4 linked regions of the Saccharomyces cerevisiae S288C genome follow. The protein of the gene in region 4 interacts with the protein of the main gene of each other region in a biochemical or structural test. Each region holds a gene or a part of one and is shown on either strand. Other genes may lie near its edges. The genes, in order: NAS2, MOT2, GAL4 and RPT5.

Region 1 (4,388 bases), on a different chromosome or scaffold from region 4:
ATGATTGACTTTAGCAAAAGTTGGCGCTGGGTACTTTGAGACTCTTTCCTACAAAACGTTACCAACACTTGCTAGTCTAATCTAATCTACTTAATCAAGGTTTTAGTGGCGTACCATGTGACGGCCATCAAATGCCATCAGTTCTACAAGTTCACATATATTTATATATAACTATTCTCCTAACTTGTATAATATTATACCGAGACAGAGGATAGATTCAATTGATTTCACATACCGGATTATGTTCCTTCCCAAGTTCTCAATCTTATTTAGACTTTTTTTTTTAATTACATTGTCGCCCACTTCGGCAGAAAAAATATAACGACAAAGTAATGGCATCGCATCGACCTAATGAAATACTACTGGCAGACGGTATGGAGAGCTCAAAAATTCCCAAAGCAGAAAACAATACTGATTTCTGATACTAAAACGAGATAGGTTAATAGCAAAATCGGGATGGTAAACGTGAAAGTGGAGTTTCTAGGTGGACTTGATGCTATTTTTGGAAAACAAAGAGTACATAAAATTAAGATGGACAAAGAAGATCCTGTCACAGTGGGCGATTTGATTGACCACATTGTATCTACTATGATCAATAACCCTAATGACGTTAGTATCTTCATCGAAGATGATTCTATAAGACCCGGTATCATCACATTAATCAACGACACCGATTGGGAGCTCGAAGGCGAAAAAGACTACATATTGGAAGACGGTGACATCATCTCTTTTACTTCAACATTACATGGTGGTTAAAAATAGCAGCAAATAATTTTTAAGAAGCAGCTACATATATATATATAAAGTGCTGTACAGCTTGAATGAATCACAAGTTAGATAACGTAGGTAATATGCAGATAGTATAAAAAGTAATAGTAATAACTGGATTGGTTTTTTTTAGTACATGACGAAGATTATAGCTCTTGTATCCTACAACCCAAAAGACCTCTACCATTCCAGTTTCTCGAAGGTGTTAGCGATGTCTTTAGGATTTGCCCTTCTCTCAAGAGAAGGACGGGAAGTGGCCTGTCTTCATTTTTCATTACAACCATCTGAATGTTTTGAAGTTTAGAGTGGTTTGCCGCATGCACATTACCAATAGAAATCAGCTTATCATCAACCTTTATGTCTGCTTTATCTGAAGGGCTACCGGGTACTACCTCACTGATAAATGCAAAAGGGATGGTATACTGAATAGCTTGATCGTCGTTATTCCTTCTTGCATCTTGGTTTGACTTAACGTTCATATTATCAAAGTGCTGGTTTAGTAAGACGTGTGATCTTTGCAAAAGGTGATTTAAATCATTCTTCAGCATATTAACATTCTTTCTGATCATAGTGACTTGCAATACATCGACATCCGAACGAGGATACCCGTCTGGCGTCACCAACGCAGAGTCCATGCCGATGCCTTGCTGCTCAAGCACACTGAAATACGCCTCTAGTTGTGTCTCAATATCTGTCTTTAGAACCATCAATTCCGACAGTTTGAAGCTGTCTATTTGACTAATTCTTGATGTTAGGCTCGGATCTATCTTAACATTGGCCAACAATTTACTTAATTCTTCTTCCTCCATTGTAGTTCGTTCTTATTCTAATTCTTGCTCCTTTTTACTCTGGTGATAACTTTTCTATCTCTCAATGCTGAACATTTTTTTTCCCTTTATTATCCAATATTCCAACCGTTATAAAGTAAGCCTTATCGAACACAATCCACGGCGCACGCAAGGGACAGCAAATTTCGAGAATTAATGAATAGCCAGTAGTAAGATCCGTATTGATAAAGGTCATAGATCCCAACCTTTATGTGAGCCAGCCCGAAGGGCCCTTTAAATGACTCTCATAATATGGTCCAATAGCACCAATTTCTAGGGGTTACCCACCGGCCTAGTGCTTAATCGAATTCTGAAAAGAATCTCTACTACAGACTGCCAACCGTAATAGTAGTGAGATCAACACTGAAGGCAGCAGTCTTTAGCACAATGACACAGACTGATAATCCTGTCCCCAACTGCGGTTTACTGCCCGAGCAGCAGTATTGCTCTGCAGACCATGAAGAGCCACTGTTGTTGCATGAAGAACAATTGATATTCCCTGATCATTCCTCCCAACTGTCCTCAGCAGATATCATCGAGCCCATCAAGATGAACAGCAGTACTGAGTCAATTATAGGGACAACGCTGCGAAAGAAATGGGTACCACTATCCTCAACTCAGATCACAGCTCTTTCCGGCGCATTTGCTGGATTCTTATCAGGTGTGGCAGTATGTCCCCTCGATGTTGCCAAAACGCGATTGCAAGCACAAGGACTACAAACTAGGTTCGAGAACCCCTACTATAGGGGGATAATGGGGACATTAAGTACTATAGTAAGAGACGAAGGCCCGCGGGGCCTCTACAAAGGGCTGGTACCGATTGTCCTGGGCTACTTCCCAACCTGGATGATATACTTCTCCGTGTATGAATTCAGCAAAAAGTTCTTTCACGGCATCTTCCCACAGTTTGATTTTGTTGCTCAGTCATGTGCTGCAATCACGGCAGGCGCTGCATCTACCACCTTGACCAACCCAATCTGGGTTGTGAAGACAAGACTTATGCTGCAATCAAACCTCGGTGAGCACCCCACACATTACAAAGGCACTTTCGATGCATTCAGAAAGCTATTTTATCAGGAAGGGTTTAAAGCATTATATGCGGGGCTGGTCCCCTCATTATTAGGGCTATTTCATGTGGCTATCCATTTCCCTATATACGAAGATTTGAAGGTAAGATTTCACTGCTATTCTCGGGAGAACAACACCAACTCCATCAACTTGCAACGGTTGATCATGGCATCGTCCGTCTCTAAGATGATTGCATCAGCAGTAACATATCCGCACGAAATTTTACGAACCAGAATGCAACTGAAATCAGATATACCAGATTCCATTCAACGACGTCTGTTCCCCCTCATTAAAGCAACTTATGCACAAGAGGGACTAAAGGGATTTTATTCTGGATTTACTACTAACCTAGTACGAACCATTCCGGCCTCGGCAATCACTCTAGTGTCCTTTGAGTATTTCAGAAACCGCCTAGAAAATATTAGCACTATGGTAATTTAAAGCCTTAAAATTCACACACGCCACACATTGAGTGTGCTATGAATATGCCTGCGCTAATATTTTAGGTATTACAGCTTGTAAATATACCAAATAAGGTAAGCCTCTCTTTTCCTAATACTAAAAGGATTTGCATCGAACAGCCCACCAAATGCTTTGCGCACACATTATATACACCCACATGATTCTATAGACAAAATATACTTATACATTTTCATAGTCTTGACAATATTCTACATTGGCCGTTTTCTTGGCACTATTTTAGCTTATCCTTACCAAAATAGTCTCTTTTTTAAATACTATTTTTGAAGCGGAAATAGGTGCGAACAAATGAATGGCTTCAATTTAGTGCGATAAAGACGTAAAGCATAAACCAGTGAAGATCATAGCACTAAGAAGGCGCCTGTACTGTTCCTCGTGTTGATACTCATTTCCTTATTTATTTTCCTCAAGAAATTCTATCCAGGAAAGAAAAATACTATCTATAAAAACTAGCTGTAAGGCAGCAGCCATGAAAATGAATCTGAAAAGGCTCGTAGTTACCTTCTTCTCATGCATCACCTTTCTGCTGAAATTCACTATAGCCGCCGCTGAACCACCAGAGGGCTTTCCAGAGCCCTTAAATCCAACAAACTTCAAAGAAGAGCTATCTAAGGGGCTGCATATTATTGACTTCTATAGTCCATACTGTCCGCACTGCAAACATTTAGCACCTGTTTGGATGGAAACATGGGAGGAGTTTAAAGAGGAGAGCAAAACACTGAACATAACATTTTCACAGGTTAACTGCATCGAGAGCGCCGATTTGTGTGGAGATGAAAATATTGAATACTTCCCTGAAATTAGACTTTATAACCCCTCAGGATACATCAAATCGTTCACTGAAACACCGAGGACCAAAGAATCATTAATTGCATTTGCACGCAGGGAGTCTATGGACCCAAATAACCTCGATACTGATCTGGATTCTGCTAAAAGTGAGAGCCAGTATCTCGAAGGCTTTGATTTTCTCGAGCTGATCGCTGGTAAGGCGACTAGGCCACATTTGGTTTCCTTCTGGCCAACAAAAGATATGAAAAATAGCGATGATTCACTAGAATTCAAAAACTGTGACAAATGCCATGAATTCCAAAGGACTTGGAAGATCATTTCAAGACAGTTAGCCGTGGATGATATCAACACGGGCCACGTTAATTGCGAATCTAATCCAACAATCTGTGAAGAACTGGGCTTTGGCGACTTGGTGAAAATAACCAACCACAGAGCCGATAGAGAACCCAAGGTAGC
Region 2 (5,764 bases), on a different chromosome or scaffold from region 4:
TACGGCCATTGTGTGCTCATCCGTGATTCTAATACCATCAATATAGTCTGGCTCAATTCCCTGCGCTTCTAGCCTTCCATTAACCTGAGGACCGGTACCATGTAAAACTATTGGATATAGACCAACATGATACAAAAATGCCAAGCAGGAAGCGAGTTCGTGTAGATTGTCGCTGATAATGGCACCACCCACCTTGATCACAGCAAATTGTTGTTGTGAGACGGAAGTGAAATATTTCAAATATTGTTCAACCTCTCTTTTTGTGCTGATATTGTTCAACAGTTGGATCACAGTGGATCTAGTAGCTGAAAAGCCGTTAGTAGATGAAACATACCTCTTTGAGTATCCGACTTTCTTTCTCGTAAATGCAACGGATGGTGGAGCTCTCAAGGGTACAGATGCAAATCCTGCTATGGTGGATTTGTTTAATGAAGACACAAATTTTTGGAATTTGGAAGCGTTAAGTCTCTTTGTCGAGACGAGTAAGCTAGCAGATGGCATAATGATGCAGACTTATTTCTCACTTCAGATCTCTCTTTCTTTTGCCTTTAGTGGTATATGTGTTAAGTATATTACGGGTCTGAAAAATAATATCCAAAAATGTTCCTAATGGAAATGGATAGCGAACAACAACACGCGCGCAAGCTCTTTATATGAAAAAAAAAAATAGAAGAGTCATCAATTACCACCATTCGGCCACAGTTTTTTGATGTAGACTGAGTCATTCGGATAAGAATTCCAACCAACTGCGCAAGAGATTTCGTTGAAAAAATGTGATTTAAGTGAAAAAATTAGCGAAGCAGGTTCCGTGCATTATGATATATATCATGATGATTATTTTCTATGAATTAGTCATTCTTGCAGCGCTGACGCTTTCATACGTTGTAACGAGTAAATAGACTATACTGGTATATGCTATGGCATTATTCATTAGCCAGATACCTTTCCCAGATACCTTTCCACGTCAAAGGTTTAAAAAAATGGGTGAGATTTTTTTTTCTTGCATTTCGTTATAAACGGAGAGATTATATATTCATGAGAAATAAAAATAGATAAAATTATGGTTAATGCAAACAAGAAAAATATTTAGAGTCGGATTAATTACCGGCGATAATTTTCCTTCCGTTGATTAGTTGATTTAGTAAATCAGAGGAATTTCTTGAGCTTGTATCACCCATTTGTTGCTGCTGAATAGGAACCTTATGTTGTGGACCAAAGATACCCGGTGGAGGGGTACTGACGTTTAATGGTGGTTGGATTTGCTGTGAGACGGTTTGCAGTCTTATTGGTTGGGTGGGAGTTTTCGTATTATCTGTGATTGTAATATTGTCATTTACACCAACATTGACACTCTGCAAGAATTGAACGACAGAAGCAGTGTAGTCTATTGGCTTTATAGCCAGGATCTCCACAAGTTTGTTGGCTAATGTATTGTCACTTTTCTTTGAGGCCTCAATCTTGTCCCAAGAAAACAAAGACGGATACTTTTTATAAGTTTCTTCGTCAATAATATTGGATTTGATAGATATAGGGCGCTTCTGATAATTTGATAGAGAATGTAGTCTTGCATCCAAAAAGTCAACAGCATTCCCTAGTGCGTCATAAGGATCTTTGTATTCCTCTGCAGCAAGAGATTGCTTCTTCTTGCTACCATGGGAGTGACTTGTAGCATTGGTATTGGTAGTAGTTGTCGTACTTGTGATGGTATTCTCTGTTGTGGGGGTAGTATGATGGCCCAGAGAATCATTTAATGTTGGCAAGTTTATGGAGCTGCTGTTTTTAGAGAGATTGATAGAGGTTACAGGTGTTGCTGATTGAGTAACTCCCCAAGGATTTGACCCTGCAGGGACCGGAGCAGGTGTTAATACCGGTGTTCCAGCGTTTGTATGGCTGTCATGATGTAACTGAGCCCTCATCGCCGCCGGTGAAGGTGTGCCTGTGAAATTTTCACTTAGTAAATTGGTATTTGAACCAGCGGTACTGGTAGATATATTGTTGTGTATTCCAGATCTAGTGAATGCAGTTCCGCCACTTTGCTGTTGCGCTTGTTGTTTATTGTGGAGTTCTCTTTTATTAAAAGAATCAGCTTCTTCACCAGGTTCATGCAAAAACATACAGTTGGGATTTGGGCATGGCAATCCTCTTAAATAAGAAGAACAGTATTTAGTAGTACCGTAGGCAGCTTTGATCAGGCGGCCATCCATATACGTCCCGTCTACCTGAGCTATACATCTTGCAGCATCGTCCTTGGATCCGAAGGTTATGTAAACGCCATATCCTGGTGAATGATGGTGATAATGCTCGCTGGTTGTGTTGTTAGAATGGGGTGTTTTTCTATTAACCACAATCTTATTTATCTTACCATATTGGCCAAAATATTTTTCAGATTTCAGAGTGGGCGCAACTTCCTCGTATGGAACAGGAGGATTGATGCCAACAACGTACACTAAATTCTTTTGGATAACTCTGGTACCAGATAAATGTTTCCTATTCGTATATTCATTCTCTTTACGTTCTTTTTCTCTATGCTTTCTTTCTTTCTCCTTCCTAGCGAGCTTGGCTCTCTCCATTTTTAACTCCTCCGGAGATAATGTGACGTATCTGACGTTCTCGTCATCATATTTACGACGACATGCTGGGCAACGGCCATTTAATTCTGGATTTTGTCTGATATTATTGTAGCAAAATTGACAAATTTGATAACCACAGGGACAAGGAAAAAAATTTTTATCAGTAATATCCATTGGTTCAATACAAAGAGGGCAATAATCTTCTTCATCCTCCGATAAAAATGACGTATCAAAATTGCTTAAGGCGTTGTGGATTGCTTGCAAATTTTCTTGAACGTGTGGATTCATCATTATGACTGGATTATATACGATACTTTTATTTGGTCTTTTGTACTTTTTATTAAGTTTTGGGATTGTTGCAGAGTAACAAAAGCAGTAATCTATACTATTCGAACCACTACTGAAAACCCTAGGAGGGCTTTTACTGTATGTAGTACACGTCTTGATATGCTTTTCGGAAATTTTGAAAAGAGAAAGCAAAAAAAAAAATCATATTCACACTTACAATGTTACCCGGGAAGAGACGGCAATCAAGTGGAAGTTCGGGTAATAGCATTCATTTTAGAAGCGTCGATATAATCATCGACCAGGTAGTAGTTTAACAATACATTATCAGGTTTCGCGGCGTAACAGTGATACTACTTTATAGCGTTTCACGTCTTCGGGCTCAACATTTCAATAAAAAAAATTCAAAAAGTTGCTAATCGTAAATCATTAAAGGTACATAAAACTACTTATGAATTTGGGAGGTTAGGATTCAGTACTAACACATTCTCTATGACACAACCTTTAATTTGCGCCTACAGGATGTGTTTTGTAATCGACAAATACCATAGCATCTTCATGTGTGCAAACTACTTGAACGTCTATCTTGAAAGGTCTACCATGGTATTCAGTTTCCTCACCGTAATGCCAGGTGATTTTATCAAATGTCTCTTCCTTCGATTTTTCGTGAAATTTAAGCTCAGGTTTCCTAACGGCTTGCTTAATATCTTTCAAAAGATGCTTTTCAATATGCTGGTGCAGGTGACGCACGAACTTCTTAGAATGAGAATTTGCAGCATCACTAATTTTTTCAGGGTCCTCGTGCGACTCGTGTAGCACAAATGGTGGGTAGTAATTTAATTTACAGTGCAAATGATCGAAATCATCATCTTCAGTTTCATTGGCAATGAAAGTTTCAAAACCCTGCAGGTCTTCAAAAACTTTCACGGTTTCACCATCCTCCGTGGTAACCGTTTGAACTTTTACTTCCTTCTTATCCTTCTTTGTCATTTAAAGTGGAGACGAAAACAGTCGATACCTAATTTATATGTTCTATGGGCAATTATTAGAATACAATGCAGAACTTGTCCCTTTATGAAATGTTTTGACCAAAGAAATTTGAACGTGGAAGAACAAAAGATTCAAATATACGCTAGAAATCTTTTGCCTTATATATGTGCACACAATCAAGTAAAGACACTTGTATTTTTCCACCCAGCAATACCCCTTAAGAACGCTGCCCCTTTCATTCTATATTTAATTAACCATACAGTAACTTATAATACCCCTGATTACAGGATGCATTTGTTATGGAAGTCAATTGCCGAGAGCCGTCCACATTATGCTGGTTGCCTCGAGGATATTATTTTTTAGCACATCCGCAATCTCGCCACACCGCATTTCCGTTCCTTCGGCCCCTGAATCTGGGGTAAAAAAAAAAAAAGCAGTCATCTGGAGATTGTATCACCCAAAAAGAAATACGTTTCTGGCTCGTAACAGGTATGACAACACGTTGTCAGAATACCAAAGTTTAGTCTGAACATTTGACTGCGTGTATATCGGAAACGCTGGATTTTTGGTGCCACCTTCTTCGTTCATGGCATATGTGTAAGTCACGTAGGATTAATGTCATCAATTTCATGAGTTGAGTGAAAGTGCAACTTTACAATGTAGTCAACATACTGCACCGTCATCATTACATATTTCAGATTAAGGGTGATAATGCCGCTTTCATAATTCCTATTGAAACCTTGTATTGGCATATGATACTTCAGGAAGATGTGTTCGGCAATCGTTGCTTTTACTTCGGTACTCTTGACAGATTATGTCATTTATTCGCACCAGTAAGGATGTAGCTCTTGTCTTCTGTAGCCGAATTATCGAAGTTAATGAATAATATTACACACAGCTACAGTTTCAGGAAAAATATGAGACGAGTCGCAAATAAGCGGCCATTGTATACATTATGACAAAGTGAGTGTGATAATTACTGCATGGCCCAATGCATGAAAATATGGGTCAACTTGTACCACATTTGCTACAAATGGACGATAACTGAACTGGGCATAAACAAAATTACTTTTTCCTCGATTTTAGTCCTGCTGATTGAGCTAATAATACATAGCTCGCATGTAATTAATGTTGATATATTAAACTAATAAATAGCACATAACTTATTAATGTAAATTCTAAAGTTTTATATTTGTTTACACCGAAAAAGTACAACTGAGTTCCAAACGTGACAAGGTAAGTTCTGCATCATTCTCACATCAATCTTCAACTAAAGTCCAAAATTTCTAAAAGATTTCGCTTGTCTCGTTCTACCGCTGCCACAAGTGTGTTGTCCTTAAAACTAACGTTCCAAACATTATCAGCACCACTCAATGTATCTGAACGGACTAACAGCCCACTATTTAAATCATAAATATTGAGCAAACCTTCAGATCCACTCACTAATACCTCATCAGAAACGTGCAATGCGGTGATTGTATTCAACTGCGTGTGATCGAAAAAGTGCTTCAGAAAGTAAGTGTTAGCGTCCCAACACCTTATTGAACCGTCTACAGAAGCACTGACTAAAAATTTATCGGATAATCCCAATAAACCGACTAGGGCTCTGTGACCCCGCAAAGTGTACATAGCACCAAGTATTTTGGCGCATGGCGATGCTGAATTTGTTGCGTAGGAACATTCTCCATTATTCCTTATATTTTCCAAATCCCAAATTCTAATAGTGGTATCCATACTGGCAGAGATGCACCTTTTTCTTTCATGATCGTAGATTGTCGAATAAATACGATCCGTATGTCCACTCAAGATATATAGACATTTCATTTGCGCAACATCCCACACAATCAATGTATTATCATAGGAGCCACTAATGGCAATATTACCGTGGCCTGAGACAGTTCTTACAGTCGCCGTATGTC
Region 3 (6,630 bases), on a different chromosome or scaffold from region 4:
CCACTTCGTTATACTCGGACAAGTTCTCCAGAAATGACGTAAATGTCGATTTTAAAAAGCTTTGACCTTCCTGCAACGACTCTCTAGTTTCTTCCCCCTCTTTATTCAAATGGTGACTGGTCTTGCGGTAACGACTAGCGATCAAATTAATTTCTGCAGTGGACTCTAATTGCGCAGTTTTGGAACCAGTGAGAGGAACATGATGATAACTATTTCTTTTAGTTTCTTCGAAGTTTTTACGGAACTTCTCTGACTTCATTTCTTCCTCTAGTGGCGGTGGAACAGCATTCTTCGTCTTCGGTGGTTGTTCCCTTTGTTTGCCCCTTGGAGGTAATTTTGGTGACGTTGATGTCGCAACATTTTGTCTAGGTGGTAATGGTGGCGAAGATGTAGTGGGAATTGCGGAAACCTCGTTCTCGCTTGAGTTATCACCTTTTTCATTTATGATTTGTGTGGGTATAGGTGGTACTTTCCTAGCAGTTTCTGAGGAAAGATTCTCTGCTGTTACGGGCCCATCTTCTATAGCAGCTTTTTGTTCCTTGTTTTCATTCAAGTTTATTCCTGCGGCTACCTCATTGGTAATATGAATCTGGTTATTATCATTTTCTGACGACCTTTCTGGGGTTACTTCACTACTTATAGAAATGTCGTTCGCATTTGCAGCTGTCGTAGTACCAGATTCGTCATCGAGAAATTTACTCGAGGATGATTTCTCACCTCCAGAATTTTTTCCAGTTACTTCCCTATTTTCTGGACTACTAACAACCTCTTTCGTATCAGCGTAAACCTTCTCATTCTCTTTGACTGCATCATATTCTTTTTCAATATTCAGCCCATTTGGGGCTTGCACATCCGTTGTCACATCTTTTTCAACATCCAATGGCTCATTTAAATCAATTTCAGAACTAGGTTCTCTCGTTTCTTGCCTTTGTTCATTAACGTTTTGTTCAGTGATTTGGGTGTCTTCATCACCAGAGATCCCAATAGGTTCTTCTCTTGATACATTTGTGGGTGCTTCATGGCCTAAACTTTGTTGCTTGTCATTTAGTTCTTTGTCCGAATGGAGGGGCTCAGTTGGAATTATAGCTATCTCTTCATATTGGTCTGATGGCGTTGATTTTATCTCTTCCTCCATTGAACCCAAATTATTCGAATGATTATCACCTTCGTGAACTTCAGAGGCGATCGTATCTGTATTTTTCTCAATAGATTTGTCTGAAGACATTGCTCTATTAACGTTCTACTTTACACTGGTGGTAGGAGCTGTTTTATTTTGAGTATTAACTAATCAATCTCAATTACGTTCGATCCAAACCCTTTTTTTTCGTTATATGAGCGAAGCTTCTGAATAAGCCCTCGTAATATATTTTCATGAAGAATTTAGGTCCAAAAAAAAGATGGGCATTAATTCTAGTCATTTAAAAAATTCTATAGATCAGAGGTTACATGGCCAAGATTGAAACTTAGAGGAGTATAGTTACATAAAAGAAGGCAAAACGATGTATAAATGAAAGAAATTGAGATGGTGCACGATGCACAGTTGAAGTGAACTTGCGGGGTTTTTCAGTATCTACGATTCATTTTACTCTTTTTTTGGGTTTGGTGGGGTATCTTCATCATCGAATAGATAGTTATATACATCATCCATTGTAGTGGTATTAAACATCCCTGTAGTGATTCCAAACGCGTTATACGCAGTTTGGTCCGTCCAACCAGGTGACAGTGGTTTTGAATTATTACCATCATCAATTTTACTAGCCGTGATTTCATTATTCATGAAGTTATCATGAACGTTAGAGGAGGCAATTGGTTGTGAAAGCGCTTGAGAATTTGTTTGAGTTGTTATGAGGTTCGGACCGTTGCTACTGTTAGTGAAAGTGAAGGACAATGAGCTATCAGCAATATTCCCACTTTGATTAAAATTGGCGCCACCAAACAAAGCAGACGGGGTCAGTGGCACTAATGATTGCAGCTGTTGCTGTTGCCCTAGAAAAGGCGTGACTGAGCGATGCGAAGGTGTGCTTCTTGGTATTGTCACTGGAGAGTTACGAGAGGGTGGACGGTTAGATAACAGCTTGACTAGATCACTGAAACTTGCTCCTGATTTCAATGGCACAGGTGAAGGCCCTACTGAGCCAGGAGAAACATATTTAACACTGATATTGTTGACATTTTCCTCCGGAAGAGTAGGGTATTGGGCGATAGTTGCAGAACCGACAATATTTTTAATGGCGCTACCATTACTATTGTTATAACTGATATGCGGTAATGGGATTGCACACTGTGATAACAGAAACGGCGCACATACCTCTTCCAGTACTTGAATGTATTTTTCACAAGTCTGGATTTTAAAAGTGGCCAGTTTTTTTAATAGCATCAGAACAGTGTTAATTTGTTGTAATAATTGTGCGGTCTCGTTATTCTCAGCATTCGATTTTGAGTTTGAGAGTAGAGTCTTTATGGGTACTAGGACTGCATTGAACAAGTAATAAGAACAATTCCAGGCAAAATATGGGGTGACATTATGATTGTCCATATAGCTACTTACAGACATAACAGTTCTTTGTGCTGCATCGCTTAACATGATGGAGCATCGTTTAACTTCATAACTTTGATGATCATTTTGATCCTGTTCTAGTTGTGACTTTTTCTGGGTAAAATTAGTGAAAAAATCTCTTAATACATAAATGATAAGAGACAACTGTTTCCACTTCAGTTCGAATCTTGTAAAGGATAGCCAAGGGTGTTCCTTCAACAAATTGGTTAGAGCGGTGGTGGAAATATCCATTTGTAAAAACTTTGGTGCCTGTCTCGAAACCTCCTCAATCTCATTACAAATCATCAAGCATTTTTTTGCACATATAGGACTTTTTTCTGCAGTTACTGTTTTGTCTAGTTCATAGATTTTTGTGAAAACTTGTAAGAGCCTTGCTGTTTCAATGATGCCATGATATATGGTGGGACCTGTTGTGGTACGCTGCACATCGTCGACAGAAGAAGGGAAGGAGATTGTATTCTGAGAAAGCTGGATGGATCGACCATAAAGCAGGGACAATTGGATCTCCCAAGAGTAGACAGACCACCAAATTCGGCGTCTTTGTTCCAGAATGCTGCTATCACTGAAGGACGAGGGGAGGTCCCTATTCAAGCCCAATGATATGGCCATTCTTATGGAAAAGCTGTGAAAATTATAGCTAGTATTTGTTTTCTGCCTCCACTGTGTATATCGCGACAGAAGATGTAGGGCTGTCACCAAAATTATGGAACCTGACTCGAAGACCTTGCTCGTCAAATGAGATTTAGCATTTTGATAGTAAAAAACATCTATATCAGTAGATTCCCCCTCTATACACCAGGCTCCAATGGCTAATATGCAGTTAAAAAGGATTTGCCATTGATCCTTCGACGCGATTTCAATCTGGTTATTATACAACATCATTAGCGTCGGTGAGTGCACGATAGGGCAGTAGGGGTGAAAATTATTGAGATAACTTTGAAGTAAACGGGATGTTGTGGATCTAGAAGCCAACGTGTATCTATCCGTAATCATGGTCGGGAGCCTGTTAACGTTAGAGTTCGTGTAATTTTCCGGTTTAAAGCCAATAGATCGAAGAATACATAAGAGAGAACCGTCGCCAAAGAACCCATTATTGTTGGGGTCCGTTTTCAGGAAGGGCAAGCCATCCGACATGTCATCCTCTTCAGACCAATCAAATCCATGAAGAGCATCCCTGGGCATAAAATCCAACGGAATTGTGGAGTTATCATGATGAGCTGCCGAGTCAATCGATACAGTCAACTGTCTTTGACCTTTGTTACTACTCTCTTCCGATGATGATGTCGCACTTATTCTATGCTGTCTCAATGTTAGAGGCATATCAGTCTCCACTGAAGCCAATCTATCTGTGACGGCATCTTTATTCACATTATCTTGTACAAATAATCCTGTTAACAATGCTTTTATATCCTGTAAAGAATCCATTTTCAAAATCATGTCAAGGTCTTCTCGAGGAAAAATCAGTAGAAATAGCTGTTCCAGTCTTTCTAGCCTTGATTCCACTTCTGTCAGATGTGCCCTAGTCAGCGGAGACCTTTTGGTTTTGGGAGAGTAGCGACACTCCCAGTTGTTCTTCAGACACTTGGCGCACTTCGGTTTTTCTTTGGAGCACTTGAGCTTTTTAAGTCGGCAAATATCGCATGCTTGTTCGATAGAAGACAGTAGCTTCATCTTTCAGGAGGCTTGCTTCTCTGTCCTCTCTTAAAATGATGGCGTGCATTACGTAGACACAATCTGGAGATGAAGCTGAAAATCTGGGGAAGGATGACGGAAAAAATAGCTCATAAAACAGAAAAAGGCCCGAAGTAACAATAGGAAAAATTAATTGCACTAAACAAAGAAAACGATATTATGGTGATTAAACTGATACAGAATTATGTAAATACTTTGAAATTATAGAAGGTTTGTAGAATAAAAAAAATACTGGGCGAATGCTGTCTCAAAGGACGCGGACGTTTTGAAACTTCTTGCCGCTCACGCACCCAAACCAATCGCCCCTCTGGGGCCTCCATGCAATGTTGTTTATCTCTTGTGTTTTATTGGCATACATCATGTTAGGAGTCTCTAGTGTCTTGCACACCTGCTTGCTGTTGTTGTTTAAACTTAAGGGATCCTCGTTTAAACCGGATCCTGCGCCACCGTCTGTCATCTCTGTGTCGCCGTCAGGGTCCTCCAAGGAAGTTCCATGAATACTGGGGGATTTGCTACCTGCAGCGTTAATTTCCATAAAGGAGCTGTTCAAGTCCCAATAGAGCACCTGGCAGTCATCTCCGCACGAGAGCAAAACATTGCGCTTTGTGGGATGCCATTTAATCCCGTTTACCGAAGAACCGTGGCCTTGTAAGTTTAGTATAGGGGATTCTGGGTTCCTCATATCTAGAATAATGATTTTGTTCGAGTCAGCTGCAAAAGTGGCCAACACATTTGGGTCATACGGTGATGGCTCCAGCCTCAATAAGGCGTCCGAACCTTTCGACGACGGTGTTATAGTACCCGCAGTGGCTCCAGACACTGAGGAAGAGGGAGGCTCGTAAATAATTGTACTGTGCGCAAGCGATCTTAAATCAAATACTCGTACACTACCGTCCCCACCACAACTAGCAAATAATTGGGTCGATTTTGTCAAAAACCTTACATCAAAAACTTCGCTGTCGTGAGCGATCAATTGGGTCTTAACGTAGTGACTGCTTTGCAGATCCCATACAATGCATGTGGTGTCGATGGAACTTGAGATTATCAAGTTAGTATCGACCGTGTTCCAGTCAAATGATGTTATTGGTGGGAAAGTGCCTATGACCTTCATGTCATCTGCGGCCGCGGGATTGGCGGGGTGCTGTCTATTGTATTTACACAGAGATAGATTTATTTGTTCTTGGAACTGTCTTTCCTCAGGGCTAACGCTCCAAATCCGTAAGGAGTCAGAACACGTCGCGAGTTTCCTTGGATACAATTGAGAGGGGACCCATTGGATTTTGCTCACAGGATAAACCACATCTGCGTCCACTACGCTTTCCCAGCTCAGTAGATCATTAGAGTGCAGAACCTGCAACTTATTTCTGCTGTCCTCTTTGTACGAACCCAAGCAGACGTAGTCGTCGGCGCTCCAATCGAGCCCAAAGAGTGGATAGTGTGATTGATATTCGCACACGGAGGCCATGGAAGGGTTCATCAGATTGCTTACAACCGGAATATTTGCAGCATAGCCCCTCGCCTGCTGTAACTGAGAATGATTTGGTGAAAAAACTGGTGGCGAGAAATCTAACGGTGAATACATCGGCGATCGACTTGCATAGTACGTGGCACTTAGGTCACAGCCACTATTCCTTTTGCTGTTACCGCCATTGGTAGTGTTGCCAGACATTCCAAAGGGAGATGGGCCTCTACCTTGATCTTGTGCCGCCGAGGAAGGCCCATTAGTACCACTCAAGTAATTGTTCTTGTTATATGGCTGCCGCTGCGATGAGCCAAACGATATTGAGCTCCTTTTATTGCCATTGTGAAAGGGATCCATTTGAAGGGCGTGTATTTGCTCCTATAATTCCTTTCCTTCTTGTTGTCTGTTGACCCTTTAGGTTGTATGCCACTCTCGAAAACCTAAAGAACTGATTACTAAATTATTTATACAAGATTTCAGATGACAAGATGGTTCACCCCTTGCCCCTGGTCTTCCTCCCAGTAATTATTCATATTCCATTTTTTTTCATAAACGCACGCTAAGGAAAAAGAAGAGACTGAAAATTCTTGCATATTAGAATATAAAATGATATATACTACATTTATATACATCCTTAAACTGTGAAAGAAAGAATAGCGATACAAATGTCTAGGCAGTCCCTAGGACAGTGCCGGAGTTGTCATTGTGGAGAGGCAATGGTGTTTCTGTGGACATTAACGGTTCGTAATCTTTAGTTCTGTCGATATCCTCATCTCTGTAATACTTAATTCCCCAAGGTATTAATCGAATTAAACCGTCTAAACTTTTTTCGATTTTGGTGATGATCCATCCTGGTGGAGTGATCTTGTTAAACCACGATTCCTTGTAGCCTATGGCGTAACCGACACATAAGCCGAAA
Region 4 (5,006 bases):
GGCCTTATACAAACCGGAGGTGCGGGTAAATATCTCCATATGTAAGTCTCTGGTCTACCAGAGGGAACTGTTGCATCTATACCAAGCAGCTCACAATCTGCAGACTTAATTTGCTTGAAAAGATTTAAAGTTTTCAGTGGATTTAAATCATCCATACAACGTTTCACATAACGCTCTAGTTCTGGATTATGAGCAAGAACTTCCTTCCATTCTCCCACCCAAATATCCTTTTCAGGAGCGGACTTTTTACCTACCCAACGAAATGTATCATGGATAATCTTCAACGCGGCTGAACCAGCACCAGCAGCGGCTTTTTTCACGACACCATTAAGAGCACCACAATGCAGACACCTTCTTTGCTTTTTACATTGGTCCAAAATCTTCTTCAATATACCCATACGTCTTAAATTATCTACGCCTGGACGACGAAGTTCATGCAAAAATTGTCTTTTATCTGTTTCTGATAACAATATGGCAGAACAGTTTTTACAGATACCTTGCAGTATTTGAATGGTGGCTTTGAAGTACCCAATGTGGAAAACAGGCAAAGCTAATTTTAAGTGACCAAAATGGCCATGACACGATGCCAAGTTGCCGTGACAGGTTGCACATTCAAGACTGGAGGAAGAGACACCCATCTTGGGGTCTAAAGCACCGTTCGCCTTAGGAGCACGATCTTTTTCTAAATCGAAGAGATCTCTTGTAGACACTTCCACTTCAGACTGGGCGACAATATCGGCAGCGCTTAAAGCGCTAAATTCCAGCCCTTTAATCCTTTTCGGGGTTTCACTTACAACGACTTCCTTCATCGAATTCTTCGAAATTGCGGGACTCGCTTACAGTTTTGGAGAAAGCAGATAGTATTGAACACAATAAAGGAACAACTATGTAACCAACCAGTGATGAGTTTAAAAATTTAGTGCAGATGGAAAAGAAAAAAATGATCTAGTATACTGTCTGCAATCAACAAAAACTCTAGCCACAACAAACTAAGCAATCTTCCCCAAATCAACGATATTGTACGATTAATATATGCAAAGAATAGTAAGGTAAGCTATAGTAAAAGGGCAAGTTTAACCTCTTCTGTTATTTGATCTGGTGATGAGTTCTGCCAGAAGAGCCTGTGCAATAATTTTGCAAAAAAAATGGCAAATTTCGTGAAACACGATATTCACGTATATAGTGATGATAATAAGCATGCTATATATCAGTAGTATGTATTTTGCAGCTTCTACTTTCTGCAATGTGATGCCGTTGGCATTGAGATTCCAACGAATATACACAGATGCCTGATTTGTTTGCGATTAGTTACTGTAATAGAGAAAAAAAAATTTAAAAAAGACGAAAGCCCAAAAGAGACGAGTGCAATTAGTGGCTGATACTTTATACTATGTTTAATATATATACCTGGTTTACCTAGTGAGTATGTTCGTAAAAAAATAACGTCAGTAATGGTTGTTGGTCGGCAGCCTTGGCGAATTCCTTTTATTAGCAATGGTTTAATCATGTAGTTACCCGGCCAATATGTGGTGGCAAAAATGAATTAATGTATATTTTACTGAAAAGGACCCCATTAATGAACTCTTGGGTAAAAAGGGCACATCAGGAGTTTGTCTAAAACGTTTATACGAGTGACTTATTTGTGCATTATAGAGGTGAGAACAAATTGGAAAGTTTTGATTTTAGTTTAAGATGGCCACCTTGGAAGAATTGGATGCTCAAACTTTACCAGGAGACGATGAATTAGATCAAGAGATTTTGAATCTTTCGACGCAGGAGCTTCAAACAAGAGCCAAGCTCTTGGACAATGAAATTCGTATTTTTAGATCTGAATTGCAAAGACTGTCCCATGAAAACAACGTTATGCTCGAGAAGATTAAGGACAATAAGGAAAAAATCAAGAATAATAGACAGTTACCGTACCTTGTGGCTAACGTTGTCGAGGTCATGGATATGAATGAGATTGAAGACAAAGAAAATAGTGAATCTACTACACAAGGTGGTAATGTCAACTTAGATAACACCGCTGTTGGCAAAGCTGCTGTAGTCAAGACTTCTTCTAGACAGACTGTTTTCTTGCCCATGGTCGGTTTAGTAGATCCTGATAAACTTAAGCCAAATGACCTGGTAGGTGTGAATAAAGACTCGTATTTGATTTTGGATACTTTACCCTCTGAATTTGATTCTCGTGTAAAAGCTATGGAGGTAGATGAAAAACCCACAGAAACTTACTCGGACGTGGGTGGGTTGGATAAACAGATTGAAGAGCTGGTGGAGGCCATTGTGTTACCTATGAAACGTGCAGATAAATTCAAAGATATGGGAATTAGAGCGCCCAAGGGTGCCCTAATGTACGGGCCTCCGGGTACAGGTAAAACTTTATTAGCTCGTGCTTGCGCGGCTCAGACGAATGCTACTTTTTTGAAGCTGGCAGCACCTCAATTGGTACAAATGTATATCGGTGAAGGTGCTAAACTAGTCCGCGATGCTTTTGCACTGGCCAAGGAAAAGGCACCAACTATTATTTTCATTGACGAATTGGATGCCATTGGTACTAAGAGATTTGATTCTGAAAAATCCGGTGATAGGGAAGTGCAAAGAACCATGCTGGAATTATTGAATCAATTGGATGGCTTTAGCTCCGATGATCGTGTCAAAGTCTTGGCGGCTACCAATAGAGTTGATGTTTTAGATCCTGCTTTGTTAAGATCAGGAAGATTGGATAGAAAAATTGAATTCCCACTCCCATCCGAAGACTCGAGAGCTCAAATTTTACAAATTCATTCAAGAAAAATGACCACTGATGATGATATTAACTGGCAAGAACTTGCCAGGTCTACTGATGAGTTTAATGGTGCCCAGTTAAAGGCGGTAACTGTGGAGGCAGGTATGATTGCCTTAAGGAATGGGCAATCTTCCGTTAAACACGAAGATTTCGTTGAGGGTATAAGTGAAGTTCAAGCAAGAAAATCGAAATCGGTATCCTTTTATGCATAAAAATAATAATATTTTGATTTATCAAGCCGCCATTCACATATCTACATATTAGAACAATCCTTTTATTTAAAGTCGCGTAACTTCCTTATTATTGATACTGTATATGGCTAATTGTATACTACTTATTATTTGATGAAACCGAAAGCGTAGCAACAGGTATATATTCATTGGCGTTTGACTTTTTTTTTTACTGTATTTTTCTTTTTCGTTGGCACTTTCGCAATTTTCAAGGATGCATTGAAGGAAAGAGAAAAGCGTAGGAGAACAAGACGCATCGACGGCTACGGGTGCTTTGAGTATTTAACTTGCAGAGCTCCATATACAGCACACATCTGTAGATGATTTAGTGACATATTAATAGGCTGCAGAAAGGGAGTAAAACAGGTAGAAGTAAGATATCGGCACCATTCTACTTTTCATATAACGATTGATTAATCTTACCAAAGCATTAAATTTAAACAGGCTTGCAGACTGAAGGAGTACTACTAAAGCAACCGGACCAGGTAATATTTGTTGTAGTATTATGGGACAGTCTTCTTCAATCAGTTCCAGTAACGAAGAGGGTTCTTCCCACTCAAAAAAATTCACAAATAGCAAAGATATTTTGGCATATTTCAATAACAAAGCACAGCAACAGGTCACTATTCCAGAATTAGTCAGTTTTAAGGGAAATTTGCAAATTGAAGATCTAAACACTCCAATTTCTCACAAAGCTTTATGCAACTCACTTTATTTTCCGCAGAATCATGCCATGATTGTTGGGATAGTGACTAACATGTTGAGGGTTTTGAGCAACTTCCCATTAATGAAATCATCTTACGAACCAATTACGGGATATGGGTTATTAAAATGCATTTTGTTGTTAAACAGGGCACGATGTGCCAAATTCTTGAAAACCAAGTCCTATGATCAACTAAAACTGCTGTTTATCTCTTTATCACTTCAGAAAACTGACAAAGAAGAACTCTCCGAAGAAAGTGAAAACGACGGAAACAAGGAGTTGACTATAAAACAAATAATAACTGGGTTTGATGATGTTGATACAGAAATGCTGTGCATTCCTGCTGATTTTATGCTTCAGTTTTTAACTTGGCTTTTAATTTTAACAGTTGATTGTCCAACCACCAATTCTAAATTGGATAATACAGAGACTCATGATCAATGGGGCAATTTCAAAGTCTCAGCACTCAATCTCCTTAGAACTATGAATCCAGACGTGGTGGGCGATATAGAATCACATTCCATAACGTTTCAACAATTTTCAACTGCAATAAGAACTGTAATGCCCAATCTATTAAAACCATTAGAGAATTTAATGGAGCATTTTTTTTATTTGCAGCACGATTTAGTTGATCATGACACAAACTTATCGTCTATTCAGGATTCTAAAGTTATGACTCCAGCACTGTTGGCACAGTTATCGACGGGACTACCAAAGGAATTATTTATTCATAAGCTACAAAGTTTATACATCGGCAGGAAAAGTGGCTTCTCAATGAGGTCTTTGCAAGCAAAGGTGTTCAAATGGATGGCGCCTTCGATTTTAGTTGTTAGCGGAATGAGGATAACAAATTCTGAAGAATACGCAGCTGAGAAGAATCCAAGATACCGCCATTTTCTTGAAGAATTTCCTAAATTGAAAGAGTCAGATCAAATGATGGATGCATCGCATTTGAATAAAAGGAAAACTACTTTCGCTGTGTACATAGACGATCCGTGGAAAGTAACAAATAAAGATTATTTTGGCGATCTGAATACGAGAATAATAGAAATATCACCCAGGCAGGATATTTATAAAGTCAACCAAAAAGGCACGATCTATTTCAATACAATTGGTGGCGGAATTGGAATCGGGGATAAACAACCATTAATAAAACCAGCATCCAAGAGATACATACCAGGGAACGTGTCGCTTACTTTTGACAGCACATTAGAATTTGCTGTGTTTAGAAATACTGGTTACGGAGGTTCATTAGACCCTGGTTTATTGTCGATGGAAAGAAAGGAGG

Evidence for each region.
Region 1: the proteins of RPT5 (region 4) and NAS2 form a complex in vitro, tested with the Saccharomyces cerevisiae proteins (3 studies listed by BioGRID, with this or other methods).
Region 2: of the proteins of RPT5 (region 4) and MOT2, one has a biochemical effect on the other in vitro, tested with the Saccharomyces cerevisiae proteins (one study listed by BioGRID).
Region 3: the proteins of RPT5 (region 4) and GAL4 form a complex in vitro, tested with the Saccharomyces cerevisiae proteins (one study listed by BioGRID).

Annotation. Positions count from the first base shown.
Region 1 is NC_001141.2:342,080-346,467, forward strand, and holds NAS2 (Nas2p), read right to left. Parts: upstream 1,578-4,388; coding exon 915-1,577; downstream 1-914. Other genes in the region: ubiquitin-related modifier URM1, read left to right, coding at 457-756; YIA6 (NAD+ transporter), read left to right, coding at 1,983-3,104; protein disulfide isomerase EPS1, read left to right, coding at 3,613-4,388. UniProt on the Saccharomyces cerevisiae protein: Acts as a chaperone during the assembly of the 26S proteasome, specifically of the base subcomplex of the 19S regulatory complex (RC).
Region 2 is NC_001137.3:290,147-295,910, reverse strand, and holds MOT2 (CCR4-NOT core ubiquitin-protein ligase subunit MOT2), read right to left. Parts: upstream 2,862-5,764; coding exon 1,098-2,861; downstream 1-1,097. Other genes in the region: ARG56 (bifunctional acetylglutamate kinase/N-acetyl-gamma-glutamyl-phosphate reductase), read right to left, coding at 1-501; RGI1 (Rgi1p), read right to left, coding at 3,360-3,845; RRT13 (Rrt13p), read right to left, coding at 5,112-5,669. UniProt on the Saccharomyces cerevisiae protein: E3 ubiquitin-protein ligase component of the CCR4-NOT core complex, which in the nucleus seems to be a general transcription factor, and in the cytoplasm the major mRNA deadenylase involved in mRNA turnover.
Region 3 is NC_001148.4:78,129-84,758, forward strand, and holds GAL4 (galactose-responsive transcription factor GAL4), read right to left. Parts: upstream 4,229-6,630; coding exon 1,583-4,228; downstream 1-1,582. Other genes in the region: GTPase-activating protein GYP5, read right to left, coding at 1-1,225; YPL247C (uncharacterized protein), read right to left, coding at 4,497-6,068; putative rhomboid protease RBD2, read right to left, coding at 6,381-6,630. UniProt on the Saccharomyces cerevisiae protein: This protein is a positive regulator for the gene expression of the galactose-induced genes such as GAL1, GAL2, GAL7, GAL10, and MEL1 which code for the enzymes used to convert galactose to glucose.
Region 4 is NC_001147.6:543,337-548,342, forward strand, and holds RPT5 (proteasome regulatory particle base subunit RPT5), read left to right. Parts: upstream 1-1,692; coding exon 1,693-2,997; downstream 2,998-5,006. Other genes in the region: DNA-directed RNA polymerase III core subunit RPO31, read right to left, coding at 1-809; RTC5 (Rtc5p), read left to right, coding at 3,521-5,006. UniProt on the Saccharomyces cerevisiae protein: The 26S proteasome is involved in the ATP-dependent degradation of ubiquitinated proteins. The regulatory (or ATPase) complex confers ATP dependency and substrate specificity to the 26S complex.